Linked DNA regions of Alligator mississippiensis. The protein of the gene in region 2 interacts with the protein of the main gene of each other region in a biochemical or structural test. Links are inferred from orthologs where the notes say so. Each region holds a gene or a part of one and is shown on either strand. Other genes may lie near its edges.

The links.
Region 1: the proteins of E2F1 (region 2) and CCNA1 form a complex in vitro, tested with the Homo sapiens proteins (2 studies listed by BioGRID). The link is inferred for Alligator mississippiensis from reciprocal best matches to the Homo sapiens genes E2F1 and CCNA1.

The regions. Positions count from the first base shown.
Region 1 is NC_081824.1:420,989,446-420,996,798, forward strand, and holds the start of CCNA1 (cyclin-A1), read right to left. Parts: upstream 3,097-7,353; 5' UTR 2,992-3,096; intron 2,976-2,991; exon of another isoform or gene 2,809-2,975; intron 2,800-2,808; exon of another isoform or gene 2,711-2,799; intron 2,442-2,710; 5' UTR 2,418-2,441; coding exon 2,268-2,417; intron 41-2,267; coding exon 1-40. UniProt on the Homo sapiens protein: May be involved in the control of the cell cycle at the G1/S (start) and G2/M (mitosis) transitions. May primarily function in the control of the germline meiotic cell cycle and additionally in the control of mitotic cell cycle in some somatic cells.
Region 2 is NC_081832.1:27,212,078-27,219,881, reverse strand, and holds the start of E2F1 (transcription factor E2F1), read right to left. Parts: upstream 3,051-7,804; 5' UTR 2,684-3,050; coding exon 2,441-2,683; intron 1-2,440. UniProt on the Homo sapiens protein: Transcription activator that binds DNA cooperatively with DP proteins through the E2 recognition site, 5'-TTTC[CG]CGC-3' found in the promoter region of a number of genes whose products are involved in cell cycle regulation or in DNA replication.

The DNA.
Region 1 (7,353 bases), on a different chromosome or scaffold from region 2:
TATTTTCAGAGCCCGAGAAGTGCCTGATAATGGTAGTGCCCTGAAACAGAGTAGAGAGTAATTCTGTAGGGAGAGAATTGGTGGGAACAGAACAATTCCCATTTTAAGAGAAAGCTTCCCACTTTATACAACACTGCAGGTTACCAACTAGAGAAAACTATTTGCATCAAAAAGCTAGAAGTTAGCTGAGAAGAAAGCTTACAATTAACAACTGGTATTTAAGTTCTACTTATTGCCTTCTTGCTGTAAGCCGAGTCTTTTATGCCATATGGCGTATTAACTGTATACCAGGTTTGGTCTTCGGCACAAGCAGCATAGGGGACTATTAGATGTCAGCAAGAGGACCAGCCTCAGAGAGTTACTGAAGTTTCATACTACATTTCAAGCTAGTTAGTTAAAAGATACGAATTGTAAAGTGAAGCCTAGGACTCTTGAAAGCATTAAACTAAGATAACAAGGAAGGAAAGGAAATAATATTTGTCAGCTTTACCAATAAGCTTACCGTTTTGTCTGAATTTTTTTTTTTGGGGGGGGGGGGGGAAGCAGTTTGCATGGATAAGATAACATTATGCTGCAGATTACAAGTGGTAACTCTGTTTTGTTCCTCTGACCCCTCCCCCGCATAGACTACTGTAGTTTAACCCACAACTGTACGTAAACAGGAGTATGAACAGGCATATCGGGTTTGTAGCTATGGCTAGGATAAATACAGGCTAGTGGACTATACCAACAAGAACTGCACACAGACTCAAACAAGTGATGCTGAAAGCCTACTAGCTTCAGTGGTTTCTCCATACTTCTGAAAACAAGGATCTTTTTGTTTAGGAACAGGCTTGAAGGGCACAGAGCATGACTCTTACCACGCAATGCAAGGTGAAACCTAAAAAGGTAGTAGTCAGTGAAAGTAAGAGTCATTTACTATTTTGTCAGTCAGGTGGCTATCAGACACCCTAAAGGAATAGTAACCATATTACAGGAAAAGTGCATTTCTAGCCAATTTTTGCAGTGCAGTACTAGAGTCACATTAACTTGTATTACAAGCCTTAGGTTTCAGGACCAGCTGATGTGCCAGAGGTAATAAGATCAGCAAGGGAAGAGGGGCCAAGGCAAAAATAAAGGCTTCCCCCAGGAGTAGTTCTAGCTCCTGGAACATCATGCCACGACATGGGAATCCTGTAGGCAGCCACATGACCGTGGAGGCACAGAGCAGTAGTTGGCAGTTCAGCAGCATCTGCATTTCCACCAAACCCCACATTCTAGCATCTAAAAAAGGCTGCTTAACAGTCCCTTCAGTGACCTTCCTATCAGGAAAAAGATTGAGCAGGTTAAGAAGAGCATCACTATATTAAGTGCTTGCCAGCAGTGCCCCTGCCATCCTCTTTCCCACCATGAGAAGTCCTACTTATTGGGTAGTAACTGAAGCACTGCCCTTCAAATGCCCCCCACCCCTCATGGCCACTTGACCCGTCTCCTCTCCATGCTGCATAGCATGTAGTAGCCAAGTCAATCCCAATACTGCTAATTCTAAATATTCCTTTCGAGTAGAGACTGGCTTATGACTGAAGACTCTCCAACAGGTGGTTTACTTTTTGGTTTGCACCTTTAGGTTATGCCAAGGCCACATTTAACACTTCTTTCCTTTCCCCACTCCTATGAGCTAGAAGCTTATCTGAAAATGTGAAAGCCAGGCCTTGCAAAATTACATGTTTCCAAGCTGTGGGTTTAAAAAGAAAATGCCCAATATCATTGTTTGGGAGGGTTGTTACCTTGTGCCCCTTTTGAGGGGAGCTGGGAGTCAGAAGCCACTTTAGCTAAAGGGAAGAAGAATCAGCAAGCCAGGTACCTAGGACTTTAGATACCTAAAAACCTGTCTTGTTGGGATAAGACTTTGAGAAGTTTGAGTACTACAGACAGAGGGGATACCTGTGTATCAATATCACAGCAACATGCTTCAGTTTTACAGGTTTGTCTGCAGAACCAGGGTGAGGTTTTATTGGTTTCATTTTTTTTTTAAACCAAGTTTAGAGATCATCAACAGGACAGAAGTTGCCCATCAGAAGTGGCCCTTTGTGCATGACACAAAGAGAAACAAGCCTTCCCAGAAGCACCCCAACTCTAGCACAGAAGTCCTGAGAACTGGCTTACCCTGCACCATCCCAGCTGAGCTACCTGCACCATCCCTGCTCACACTGTCTCTGCACCAGCACCCAAAAAGTTTGTCAGACCAGGTCACTCCCCAGTGTAAGCAGCAGCTCTCCAAGAGTTACCTGGCTACAGGCTCGAAGGCACTGTCCATTCTCGGTCAGCAACCCAAGCACAGCCCTCTGCAGGGCAGGCTGGCTGGAAGGAGCTGCAGCCTGGCGGGGCTCCCGGTTCCCCACTTGGGAGACCCCACCCTTGTCCTCGCTGCACCGCATGGCCTCCAAGTCAGCAGCAGAGAGCTGGGGGGGAGAGAGACAGACAGCATGAAAGAAAGAGAAAAGCAGGTTAGTTGTTCCTCCAAGACTGATCATCTCCCTGGTATCTCTCCCTCCTGTGTCCCCCCCCCCCCCCACACACACACACACACACACACACGACTGGTGCCTTCTGAATCTGGGGGGGGGCGCCCACAGAAGTCACCAATGGCAGCAGCCCTGGGGGGGGGGGGGGCACCAGCCCATCCGACAGCATCAGTATTGGTCATTGGGGAGGACACATGGACCCCTACCAGTCACCTATGCATGCACACATACACTGTAGTGGAGAAGCAGCAGCCTTCCTCCATGCTCTTTTTACTACCCCAACCAAATAGACTACAGCTTGCACCTTGATCTCCAGCAGCTGAGATCAGTACGGGGGGGAGGAGCGGCGGGAATGAACACCTGGGATCTGAGCCTGATCTGTGTAGGCTCAAAGCAGTGGAGACAGGGAGCACCACTGTTGGCGGGAGCAAGGACAAGGGGCGCTGTGGGTGGATGGGTGGGTGAGCGGGCAGCGCCCCCGCATTACCTGCGCCCCGCCTTCAGGCCCGGCCCGACCCGACCCGACCCGCCCGGCCTATATAGCCGGGGCCAATGAGCGCGCGGGGGCGGCGCGGGGCTGGCCGATGCTCCGGCGGCGTCTGTTGGTGCGGGCCAGTTGGAACCGCGGCCCGGGCCGCTCTCGCCGCCCGCCCTGGCAACCGCGGCGCGGGCCCGCACCCGCCGCCCGCCCTGGCGTCCTGGGCCCGGAGCCGCCCCCGGGCCGCGCCGCACGCACAGCCCCGCGGGCACGCGCTGATTGCACACACACCTTACACACTGGTGATGCACACGCCCTTCTTACGCAGGTGCGGACACAGACTACACACACGTACGGATCGCACGCACACGAGTTACATAGGTGTAGACGCACTGGCTAGATTACACACACACTGATAATACACTCACACAGGGGCATTGATTGCACACCTCCCCGCAATTATACACATGTATGCACACACTGGTTACACAGGTGGCACATAGATGACACACTGATTGCACACTGGGGCATACAGGCACTGATTACATGTATGTACACACTGACTAAATGCATGCACGCTGATTATGTGTGTTCACACACTAATTACACACGTGGTGATTCCGCACACGTATACACAGGATCCTGTGTACACAGTGCCTTCAGGATCCTGTCCCAACCACCGCCTGGGAGCCCCCTGTCCAAGGGCGGTGGCTTTGCTGTCCCCTCAGCTGTGTATCCTTTATCTCCTTCCTAACCATCAGTGCAGAGAAGCAGCTCTCTGATTTCCAGTCACCTGCAGCCATCTGTAGCTGTGTGAGCCATTGGGGAGTGAAAGCAAACCCCGGGACAGTTCCTAATGAAGCCTGGAATAGTTGCAAGTAATTGCAGTGTACACAAGGCCCCTTTGGCTGCCTTTTGGTGCAGCGCTTATAGAAGCGACTGTAAGGAAAGGCCCCGTGGTGTTCATTCTTTGCAATGACACTCTCTCATGATGCACAAATGCAGGGGTGGTGAACACTCTGGGGTCCAGTCTTCATCTCAAACCCATGCACCTCTAAAGGACACAAAAATAATAAACCTGGATGTAGAAAGACCCTACGTTATACAACTAGACTAGTCACTTCTGGCACAGAAAATCTATGTGCCAGCATAACCCAGAGCCTGAGCACTGAAACCTACTAAATCTCATCAAATGTTGCCCCTAAACACCCAACTTTATAGCGTTTCAAGAACAAATAAATCTGTCTCACTGCACTAACAAAAGTCCTTGAACCGTTGCATCTCAGTATGGGATGGCTGCAAAAAGCAGGATCTGGAATATGGATCCTCACATTCATCCAGGCCCCAATACATATTCTGTGGCTTAAACTGAAAACAAAGGTAGCTACCACTATTGCAGTGCAACAACAGAAAAAAATCAACTAAAAACAATGGACCTGGATGCACCCCCATGGATCAGTGCTGCAAAAACTTGGTTCCAGGATTGAATCCAGTTGGAACTTTGCAATTTTGGGGGGCCCAAATTATAGTTTAGATTATACATCTAAATAGAAAACAAGCATCATTTCTCCCATATTAATGAAATAAAATTCAAGCTTTGATGCTTGCTGGCCTAATGCCACTAGAAAAGCATATATCTGGTTCTAGGATCCTGTTTCACACTGCCAATTTTTAACCTCAGCCCTCCCTCCTCATCAAAGTAGAATTGTCTAAATAGAGAAAAAAGGTTGCATCAATATAGCAAAATGTAGTTATGCAATATGTATCCCACATGTTGTGTTTCAGTGAAACCATAATAGCCTATATCTGACATCACTTTGTCTAGATACCGTACCTCCAAATGTCATATTATGTATGTATATTTTGCAATGGAACTGGTCCAGTGGTTGTGTAATTTAGCTTAAACACTTGATGGGTTAGTAATTTATGGAGATAATCAAAACAATGTAAAGGAATTACATACTGTAATTCCATTAATTGTAAATAATTTCTAATGTTATACAGGTCTAAAAATCCCTTAGGTTGAAAAAATCTAAGCACATTACCTACAGATTTATCCAATGCACATGCATAGCTGTACTTGTTATCTGTCCAGAAGATAAAATTTGTGATGATGGTGATAATACAAGTTAGATTTGCTGGACCTAGATCTGCAATTGGATTTTTCAAGTGTTTGTGTGCTAGGAGTGATGAGGGGCCAGATTTTTTTTGCAGGAGTGACTATACAGGTAGTCCTTCGACTTATGACACAATTGGTTCCTGAAAACTTCATCTTAAGTCAAAATGTTGTAACTTGAAACTGATTTTCCCATAGGAAATAATGTTATAAATGGGGGATTGGTTCCTGAACCAAGGCCCGATACCCTATTTTAACCAAAAATAACCCATAATTTTGTACTCAATCAATTATAGATGAGTAATATAGCTACATTAGCATATTTATATTGTAATAAGCAATCACATTGATTTGGAAGGACTTCTTTGAGGTGACTTTGCTGGACTTTTTGAGGGCTCTTGGCTGGAGTCTTCTCAGGAGTCTTGGCTGCAGGTTTTTCTGGAGCCTTGGCTGCTTTCTTAAAGAAAGTGTCCAAGGAAGCTTGGACAGATGTTTTCCAGGGAGATGGGTGATGCAGTGAATGTGTTCACTGGCATGGCATTGCATCGGATCAAGCTTTGTACAGTCTAAACTGATGTCAGAAAGTTGAAACAGTGTCAATTTATAAGCATTGTAAGTGTGAAACGTAACTGGAAACACTGTAGGTCGAGGACTGCCTGTACTTGATCTGTATTTATGCAGTGAAATTGAAAAGTGCTTTGTAGCCAAAAATGGTCAAATCCAACAGGACCCAGGTGCAAGGTACATATTCTTGAGTTGCTTTTGCACTGGTGTGTATTAGAGCCAGCATTTTTCTAAAGGATAATGTGCTTTTTTGACTATACAGTTTGGGGCTTTGGGCAGGATTCACCAGGCTAAGAATGCTGAGTATCTTTGTGGTGCTATTGAACAGGGATATACCAGGATCTGAATTTTTGAGTGAGAGTAGAGCATCTATCCTTCCCTGTTGAGCTGGTACCATTTTGAGGTTTGGGATTTTAGATGCATATGTTGACTGTTACAACAGAGTCTGGATTTGGCAGTTCATTAGGAACTCCTATATCTTCTTCTTGATTTAGACAATAGAATTTGAGAGGCTGTAGTTAAAAAATTGGCAGACTTCTATTGCCAAATATGTGTTTTCTAGTGCTATAGGACTGGTATCCAAAAGAGGGTCCAGGTCCCCCCTCCAACATCCCCACACCCCTCTCCCCAAGTGAAACAGAAGCAGCCCTACATGTTTGTGTAACTTGGAGCTTGAAGCCAAAAATCATCAGACTGACTGCAGGGAGATTCCAGATGCAGAATTTTGCAGTGTTCATGTGTCTGAATGCATCAGGATCCAGTATTCTTCTATATGTAGTATGGAATATAGGAAAAAGGCAAATATTAGCTAGATTTGCTACATCCCATTGTTTGGGGGATTCATGGGTTTTTGCATAACTGGGGTCTGGAATCCTTTAGTGCAGTACAAGCTACAAAACTTATTCTCTGTGTGGTGGCATTGGCTTTGGGGGCTTGGGTCAAAATTTGGGTGGATCCACCAAGCTTCTAGTGCCAGACTTGGGTTCTTTGCAGTGCATATACTCTAGAATGCAAAAGGGTCTTAATTTTATGTAGGTGCAGTTAGAGCAGCTAGACATCTAAATTGTGATGATATTTGGGAGCTTGGAGTTACAGATCAGCAGATCCAGGTAGATTTAGCTTTTTCTTTTCTAAAAAAATGGCATAATAGCATTTAAAATGTGAATGCCACCAACAGAGAATTCCTGGTATGTCTCACAGATAGAAAACATGATGTCAGTATCTGACATCATCTGTGTGCAGTTTTACTTTCAGTCAGAATGGATCCTTGGAGCTCTGTGTTCTTTAGAGAAGTTAGATGGTTGGGAAAATAATATGGGGGAACTGTAATGACTAGAGGAAATGATCACATAAAGGTCACCAATGCTGCAGGATAGGGCTAGAAAATTATGATGTACAGTCCTCTTTTTTTTTGGTTGAGATGATCAGGAACCCCTATGTTAACATATTTTATGCAGACTTTCATGACATGCAAGATCCCATCTTGTGTAGATTTGTTAAACGTTTCAATACAAAAAATTTCAATCCTTGGGAAAATTCAAACTGAGACACTAATTGTGCAAAAATTAAATGTGTGTAGACTTACATAGAGAGGAATTCTCTTGACTTTACTGGAACTAGTTGTAATTGTAACGTCAAGAATATGCTTAAGTGCTTACAGAATAGGCTATAAGTGGCCTAACATTGTGTGG
Region 2 (7,804 bases):
CCTTTCATGCACCATCATACAGTTGTGCCAATGTGAGCCAGGACAAGCTATGAAGCTCTGATCTTGTTGGCTATACATCACAAACGAGGAACCAGCCAGGGAATCAAAGCCTTGCCATAGCAACCTCAAATCAAGCACCTGACTTGATCACCCAGGAAGTTTGTGTCAACAGGCAAAGCAGAAGCTTCACACTGATGCTTCAGCAAAATGCCTGGGGCAAATGTTCAACCACAAGAAACTGGAGTTTCAAGAGCACTTGCCAAGACTTCTCATGAATTTTTACTGCACCTGCTTCTTACCTCTCTTTAGTGAGAGATGAGCTGGATCATGAAGGAAGTGGGTGGGAAAGAGGGAAATATGGTAACGGAGGCCTGTTAACAGTGGGAACACCCCAAAAGCATGACTGTGGCTGGGCTGGACACCTCCCTGCAGCATGAAGTCTCAGAAACACACATGACAAGAAGCAACTTGACTGTTCAAGGAATGAGCTTGGCATTGCTCATACTCCTCCAGATATCTGACTGTCAGGTTAAGCTACACACAGGCAGGAACCACCCCCTTCCCAGGAGCTTGAAAAAGGAGTTTGGACCCTGCTGCTCATACACGTGTGTGTTAAGAGCTTTGCTGACCACAGGCACCAGGCTGCAGTCTGAGAGGCTTTGAGAGGAACTCCTCTCAAGAGCACCTGAGAACAGCAGGTCACTTTGGGAGGATTCTCCCAAACACGGGCTCAACAGGAAGCACAAGCCCAAGCACTAAGCATGACAGCACAGAGGAGCAGTAACTGCATGTTTTCCAACCCTCCCAAATAACAATATCTTATTATGGATTTCTGAACCAAACAGCAGCCTACAATTAAACCAAAAGGATCAACTATAAAGCTGTTGCCCCCTGCAGGCCCCTCTGACTAGAGGGATGGGCTGCTGCAGAATAGTGTGTTTCAAGGGCAAAGCTTTCTCCTGGCTCCCTATCCCCTCTGCTGAATTAAAGCATAAGGATTCCAAACTGGAACAGTGACCAGTCTCATCTCAGGATCCATGGCCAATGATGCACAAGGGCTTAAGATCCTTATCATGGACTTGGCAGTGTACAATTAAAGGTGCGTTCCACACACAATCTGTCTCTCTCGGGACCAGAACTGCAAGCCCTCCTTGCTTTACACTTGATCTCGCTGGAGATGCTGGCCTTTTAAATCAACCTAGTAAGCCCTGTAAACAAGTCAAGACCCCAGAAAGAGGGAGAAAAGACTACTCCAGTGATCTCCCTTACTTCAGTGGTCTCTTATCTTGCGCTAGGAAAAGCATGGGCAAACCACTGTTTTCAGTGAGGCTCCCTGAGGAAAAAGGGGCACTGCATGTAGCTTCTGAGCTTGCTTGGAGAAACAATGGGAAGGTCCCCCGGTGCTGATGCTGAAGGAGAGAACCCCTGTTCCAGAAATCTTACCCTGAGGATTTAAAAAACATTACATCTCAGGGAGAGCAAATAAGCACATGCAAACAGACCCCACCCTGGGACAACAGACTTCTGCAGGACTGTGGCCTTAATATCCTGCAGCAGGAAGTGAAGCCTTTACATTTATACTGTTGCAGACTTTTGTCATAGCAGCTCAAGGAACTCACTGAGCTCTGGGAACCAATGGAGAGGCTTGGGGGCACAAATAAAATGCACTACTGGGACCTGGCCTTAAATGGAGTTCTGCTATGGTGAGGACCCCACTCTCTCAGGCTTTCCATTCCCCAGCTACTTATTTTCCCAGGTTTTCAAAAGTCAGCATTCCTCCCTCCTGTACAAGGCACATCACTCCCTTATGTGTTATCTACCTCACAGGCAGATGTATCAGGGCCAGAACTTCCACATCCTCCACTGCAACCTGTTCCACTTCACTACTTCACAGCAGTTATCAACAAAACTGGAAATGCATCTGAAGACAGCATGAGCTGCTGCTTTCATTTCAGGCTTCCTTTATGCAGTGCTGCCCACTTGGTAGCTCTGTTACACAGCCAGAAAACAAAGTGTGGCAGCCTTGCTCGGGGCCTCTGCCTACATCACCTAGCTACGTATTAACAGCGTACTGCCCTGCGCGGTGCCCATGGGGGCCCAGCCGGTGCAACACAGTCAACCTCTCCCAGTAGGAAAACACCCGAGGAGCGGAGCCCCGGAGGTCAGTCAAAGCCGCCAGGGCGCTCTCCTGAGCGAGGGGCAATGAGGCCAGCGCGCGGGGAAAGCGGCTTATGGCAGCCCCCGGCCGAGCTCCCCTGCATCCTACGCCCGGTCCGCTCGCCGCCGCCTTTCCGCTGGACTGCGCGGGTTCCGACCAGCCGCCCCACGGCAGCCTCGCCCGCAGGCTCCCCGTTCAGGTGCAAGAGGCGCCGCGTGGCACAGCCTCGGAGAGCGCCCGAGGCAAGCGCGCGGCGGGGCTAGGGAGTGAAAGCGGCATTACCGGCGGGCGCCCCAGGGCGGGCCTCTGCGCGGCGGGTCCCGGCCGCGGAGCCTGCGGGGTGGCGAAGAGCAGCAGCTCCGCCTCGCTGTCTCCGTCGGGCGCGGGCAGCTCGCCGGGGGTGGAGATGATCACGATCTGCTGCTCCACCACGCGGAGCCCCCCGGCTGCCCCCAGCAGCGCCTCCAGCTCGGCCACGCAGGCGCTGCCGCCATCCCGGGCCACCTCCAGGCCATCCAAAGACATCCTCCGCCCGGCGCGGGCTCACATCCCCGGGCGCTCACGGGGAAGACCCAGCGCTGCTCCCCTCGCCCGCTCCCGGCGCTGCGTCCACCCGGGGATCACAGCGGCCTGGCGGGCACGGCGGCACAGCCCCGCCAGCGGCGGGCAAAGGCCACGGCCGGGAGAAGCGGCAGGGCGCCGCGGCCCATACTCAGCCCGAGGAGGCGCAACCAGGCAAGGCCCCGAGCGCGGCGGCGACCCAGACCATCTGCCCCGGCCCGGCCACTGTTATTGTTCCCAGCTGGTCCCGGCCCCGCACGCGTTTGCGCGCCAAATCCTTTTTGCCGCGAAAGCAGCACGAGCCGAGTGCGCGCGCTCCGATTGGCTGCACCCGTCGCGTCGATACGCAACGCCGCGGGCAGCCGCGTCCCCATTGGTCGCGACCCCGGGATTGATACGCAAACAGCATCTCCCCATTGGCCGCGGCGGGGCAGCCGGGAGGTTTCGGAGTGACTGGGAGACCGTTCTGACAGTGGCCCAATCACAGAGGCTGCGTCGGTCGGAGTGGGGAGGGAAGGGGGCCGTGGGCCAATCAGCGGGGAGCTGGGGGACGCTGAGCTGGGGCCGCTGGGGTGAGAGGGGTTCGAACCGGGGCCTTAAAGGGGAAAAGCGCGGCACGGGCGCTTTCCCTGTCCCGGGGCTGACGTGAGCCCGGGCTGCCCCGCCTCTTCCTGGCACCGCCCCAGCGCTGGTCTCACGCTCCGAGGTCTCCCTCTGGGACTGAGACCCCTCCCCTCGCTGCCCTGCTCAGGACGGCGGCGTCTTCGCGCCTTGCACGAGGGCACTTGGCCAGAGGCTGGCGCGCGTCGCCGTAGCTGATGATCCTGTCTCAGCCATCCCCCAGCTCACCCCGTGACTTGCGGCCCACGGGGTGTGCCATCAAGTGCTCTACCTGGACCACGAGTCTCCAGTTGGAAGGGCAGGCTGGGAGCTGCAGGCTTCAGGAAACGCACCTGACTTAAACACCGGGAGAAAGGAATAGAGAATTAAAAAAAAAAAGTGTCTGTGTGTGCCCATGCATGCAGGTTTGTGCACATGCGTTCATGTAAATGCATCTCTGTGTGGGTGTTTGTCAGCTGTGTGCATGCATGCGTGTGCATGTGCCCACACCTATATGCATCAGTACAAAGACATACACGGGTGAATGTGGCATAAAAGGAGCAGGCAAGGCTGGTAGCAAGTCAAATGATCCCCCTAGGTATCTGTGATGTGGTCTCTTGTTCTTGAGTGGGTGCATGCAGTAGAGGGTTGGTTTCTTTAGTTGCTGCAAACATGACTTGCTTCATAAAGCATTTCTTCCTTTGGCATTACGGGATGAGGCCAGCTGTTTGGACTTTGCCCCCAGTAGGACTAATCAGACTCAGCAAAATTTACAGTTATACAAAATTGCCTGTACTTTGTCCATATGACAGAGTCCACCTTGGCTCTGAATGGCAGAGCTGTGACAATTTGTGAATGATTGATCCAAAGTTAGACTGCTGATGCCACCAGGGGGCTTCCTGGCATACCTGTAGTCTGGAAAATGCAGTTAAGAGAAGGTGTCCAAATCCCAGCCCTTTCAATTCATGTATTCAAAGTCAAGATCCATATGAGGATGGGTGGGTTAAGGGACAACACAAGAAGCCAGCAGCAACAAGAAACAGTTCTTCACACTTCCCTCCCCCCACTTTCTAAGGCCAGTTGACATCCTGGATTCCTCTCATTCTGACTTCAGACTAAGGCACTCCTAGCCGCTTTCATAGATGACATCTTTCTATCTGTGGACAGGTCCATACCTCCAGCCTCATTATTCTGAGCCTCTTTCTAGAGCTTGTAGGTAGTGTTACAAAACACTTTTGCACTGTTCCAAGTAGCTGTAGGAATAGATGATAAAGCTATGAAATGCCTTAGATTTCTCCTCAGAGACCAAACCCAGAGTCTGACACAGGGAACTAATGCTCTGTTTCCAAAGCCTTCCATTCTGGAGCCTAGTCCCCACCTTACAACATCCAATGTCTACATGGAGCTGATGAGATACTGTAGCTTGAAGTGCCGCCATTACCCAGATGATATCCAATTCCATCTCTTCACGTCAACTATAAACAGCAATGTCTCTCAGCTTCCTTACTGCCTAACTAAAGCTGAAACCATTTTGAATGCAACCATCCTGGGAGGGAGAAGGGAGTGCTACAAAGAGTTTGTCAGCTCTGTGGCATCCCCCCTGTTGGAATTCACCTTCCCTTGGGTTGTCATGTGTGTCCTCAGCTGTGCATTCCCTTCAGATTTCATGGTACTATTGGTTATCAAATAGCTTGCTAGCAAATAACCCCAACATTTGATCCATTGGATACTGAACTCAGCTAAAGATGCCCTTTCCAGTCCTACCTTCCTGTGTTCCCCCTATGACTGGTCAGATAATAATGACTATCCTATAAGACAGACCTGGCTATAGGTCCATATGTTCCTCACCTTCAAGTGTGGCTATTGCAAGCCATGTCTAGACATAAAGCCTCAAATTCAGAGATAGTTGAAGTCTGTCCCTTTGGCCACCTTCTATGAACATCTTTCCCATGCACTGCTTTCTACAGTCACTGCCTAGTGGACAAAGTCTAGCTGAAGGTCTCTACTGTAATATTCAAAGTGCTCTAGGTAGCTCTCCTTTAGTGAGACCATGCTGTCCTTCTACAGCTATATTCCACGTGACAAGAAGTAAAAGCTCACTTACCAGAGTGCCCCTTGGGGTATCTAGAAACAATGGCCACAAAGTGACAGGGAGCAGATTTAGGCTGGACATCAAGACGGACTTCTTTATGGTAAGGGTTACCAGAATCTGAATGGGCTTCCAAGGTAGGTGGTGCTCTCCCCTACTCTGAAGGCCTTTAAGAGGAGACTGGACAAGCACCTGGCTGGGGTCATCTGATCCCAGTGCTCTTTCCTGCTCAGGGCAGAGGGTCAGACTCGATGATCTACTGAGGTCCCTTCGGGCCCTAAAAATCTATGAAATCTATGAATGAAGGACCCAATTCTTACAGGTTCTGGCCCCAGGAGTTATAGGAATAACTACAGGCCTCATCACTCTCAGAATTAAATGTCAGACTCATTTCTTTAGTGGTGTGTTCCCTCACTAGCTTCTACAGGCATGCATATGCAGTCCTACAAATTCATCAGACTCCTTTTCTAACATGCCAAGGAAGAAAAGAAAGAGAGGGGCAGGCATTTCTATTTAAAATACTTGGGAAGTGTTTGGCTACTTAGAAGACCTCTAAACATGGGATACACAAATCACTGGCATAATGTCCTCATGGAAGTGGTGGGAGTCTTGACATTGGAGTCATCTGAGAATGGTTGGGACAAAACCCCACAAGATATACTGTGAAACAGACAGAAACAAGGAGAAACAAGAGGCCTTAACACTCTTCATTGTATATTGATTATTTTCCCATGGGGAAGGGAATGGACCTTTCTGGAAAACTTGTTTGTTTTTACTTTAATCTATTTCTGATGTTCAATGGTAAACAGCACCCACCTGATTGTTTCTGGACAGTAATGCCTTGTCCCAAAATGATTGTGTTTCTTTCAGAATTAAGATCTTCTGAAAGGTGGGGGTTTTTAATTCATTTTTCTGGTGAAGTATGTCTTCATTGAACAAAATATAACTAGTGTACTGGCACATCTTATAGAAATTAAACAGGAAATATTGTCATAATACATTTAATAATTGCATGATTGTATTGGGGTACCTGCAGAGAAAATCTGGAGGTCTCATGAGCTGTCTTTGTCTTTGGCATGTCTTTAAGCTATAAGATCTGGGAGACTGCGAAGGCTCAAATTTGTACAAAAAGCCCAAGCCATTGAATGGAAAGAGAAGAAACTTTACTGTATTTACTACCAGTCTCTTGCTGTAATTGTATCACATTAGTCAGTGTATATACATGCTTCCCCTTTATGTCCTTTCACAGAGGATACCAGTCTTTAACAACTCAGCTATTTAGCTTAAGCTGTAGAGATTGATGATTTTGGCTTTGGTGGTCTTATATTCAGTACCTGTTGCTAGCCAAGGTGGAGACAATCTTGACAGCACACTCCTGAGTCTTTTCTCCAAAGGCCTAACTGGTAAGAAAATCAGAGTTATGTTGACTTTGCTGTGCAACACTTGTTCATCCATATTCTATACAGCCATGGGCAATTCAGAGCTGAAAAGGCAGATAACAGCAGAGTCCTCTAGTATCTCTAAATGTGCAGGGGGCTATGGTAATACACCCACAAAACATGGCATAGATTGTAGAGTTCCCTCCATATGCATCTCCATGTGTAGGAAGCTGATAAGTTGTTTTACCAAGTGAGAAGTCTAAATTAAAAAAAAAGGTACGATGAGAAAGCACATTTATGAATTGCGCCTTTTCTAGAATTGTAACTTATATAGACAAAGGTTTACAGAAAAAGAATCCCAGATTTTTTATTAAATACTCACTTCATCCATTACTGAAACATGGTTGCTTCTGGTGTGAAACATGGAAGCTATTTATTGACTCACGTTCACCATTTGAAAGAATATAAGAGAAAAATGAACAAATATGCCTCTAACTGAGCCTGAAGGGACACTCCTAAGGAAGCAGACTGTAATAAGCAGTGACAGATTATGGCTAGAATATAAGTCTGTTTACCTTGTAAGAAGTGCTGGGAGAAATGAATGACCTTTAGTAGTCAGTCTGTCCACCTTACCATGAAAAGCATAATGATCCTTCAGCACCAGCCTGGGGCACTGACTCAATGATACCCCAGAAAGGTGGCAAAGGATACAGTAAAAATGGGCCACATAATAGTCAGTCAAAGTCAATCAAGATTGTACTAGAAATCTTAGCCATATGTTTAAGTGGAATCCTGGGAGAGGAACTTGCCTGTTTCTGGAGGTCTTCAGTAGTGCAGTTTCACTAAATTAGAACCCTGGAAGCACTCTAGGATAGTAGTGACCTAGTTAATATAGTTACACCCACAGTGAAGACTCTTAAACATTGAAGATCACAGGCAAAAAAAAAAAAAGTCAGGTAGAACATAGACACTACAGAAACAGCTCGGAGAACTGTTTGATTCACTAAGTATCCTGCA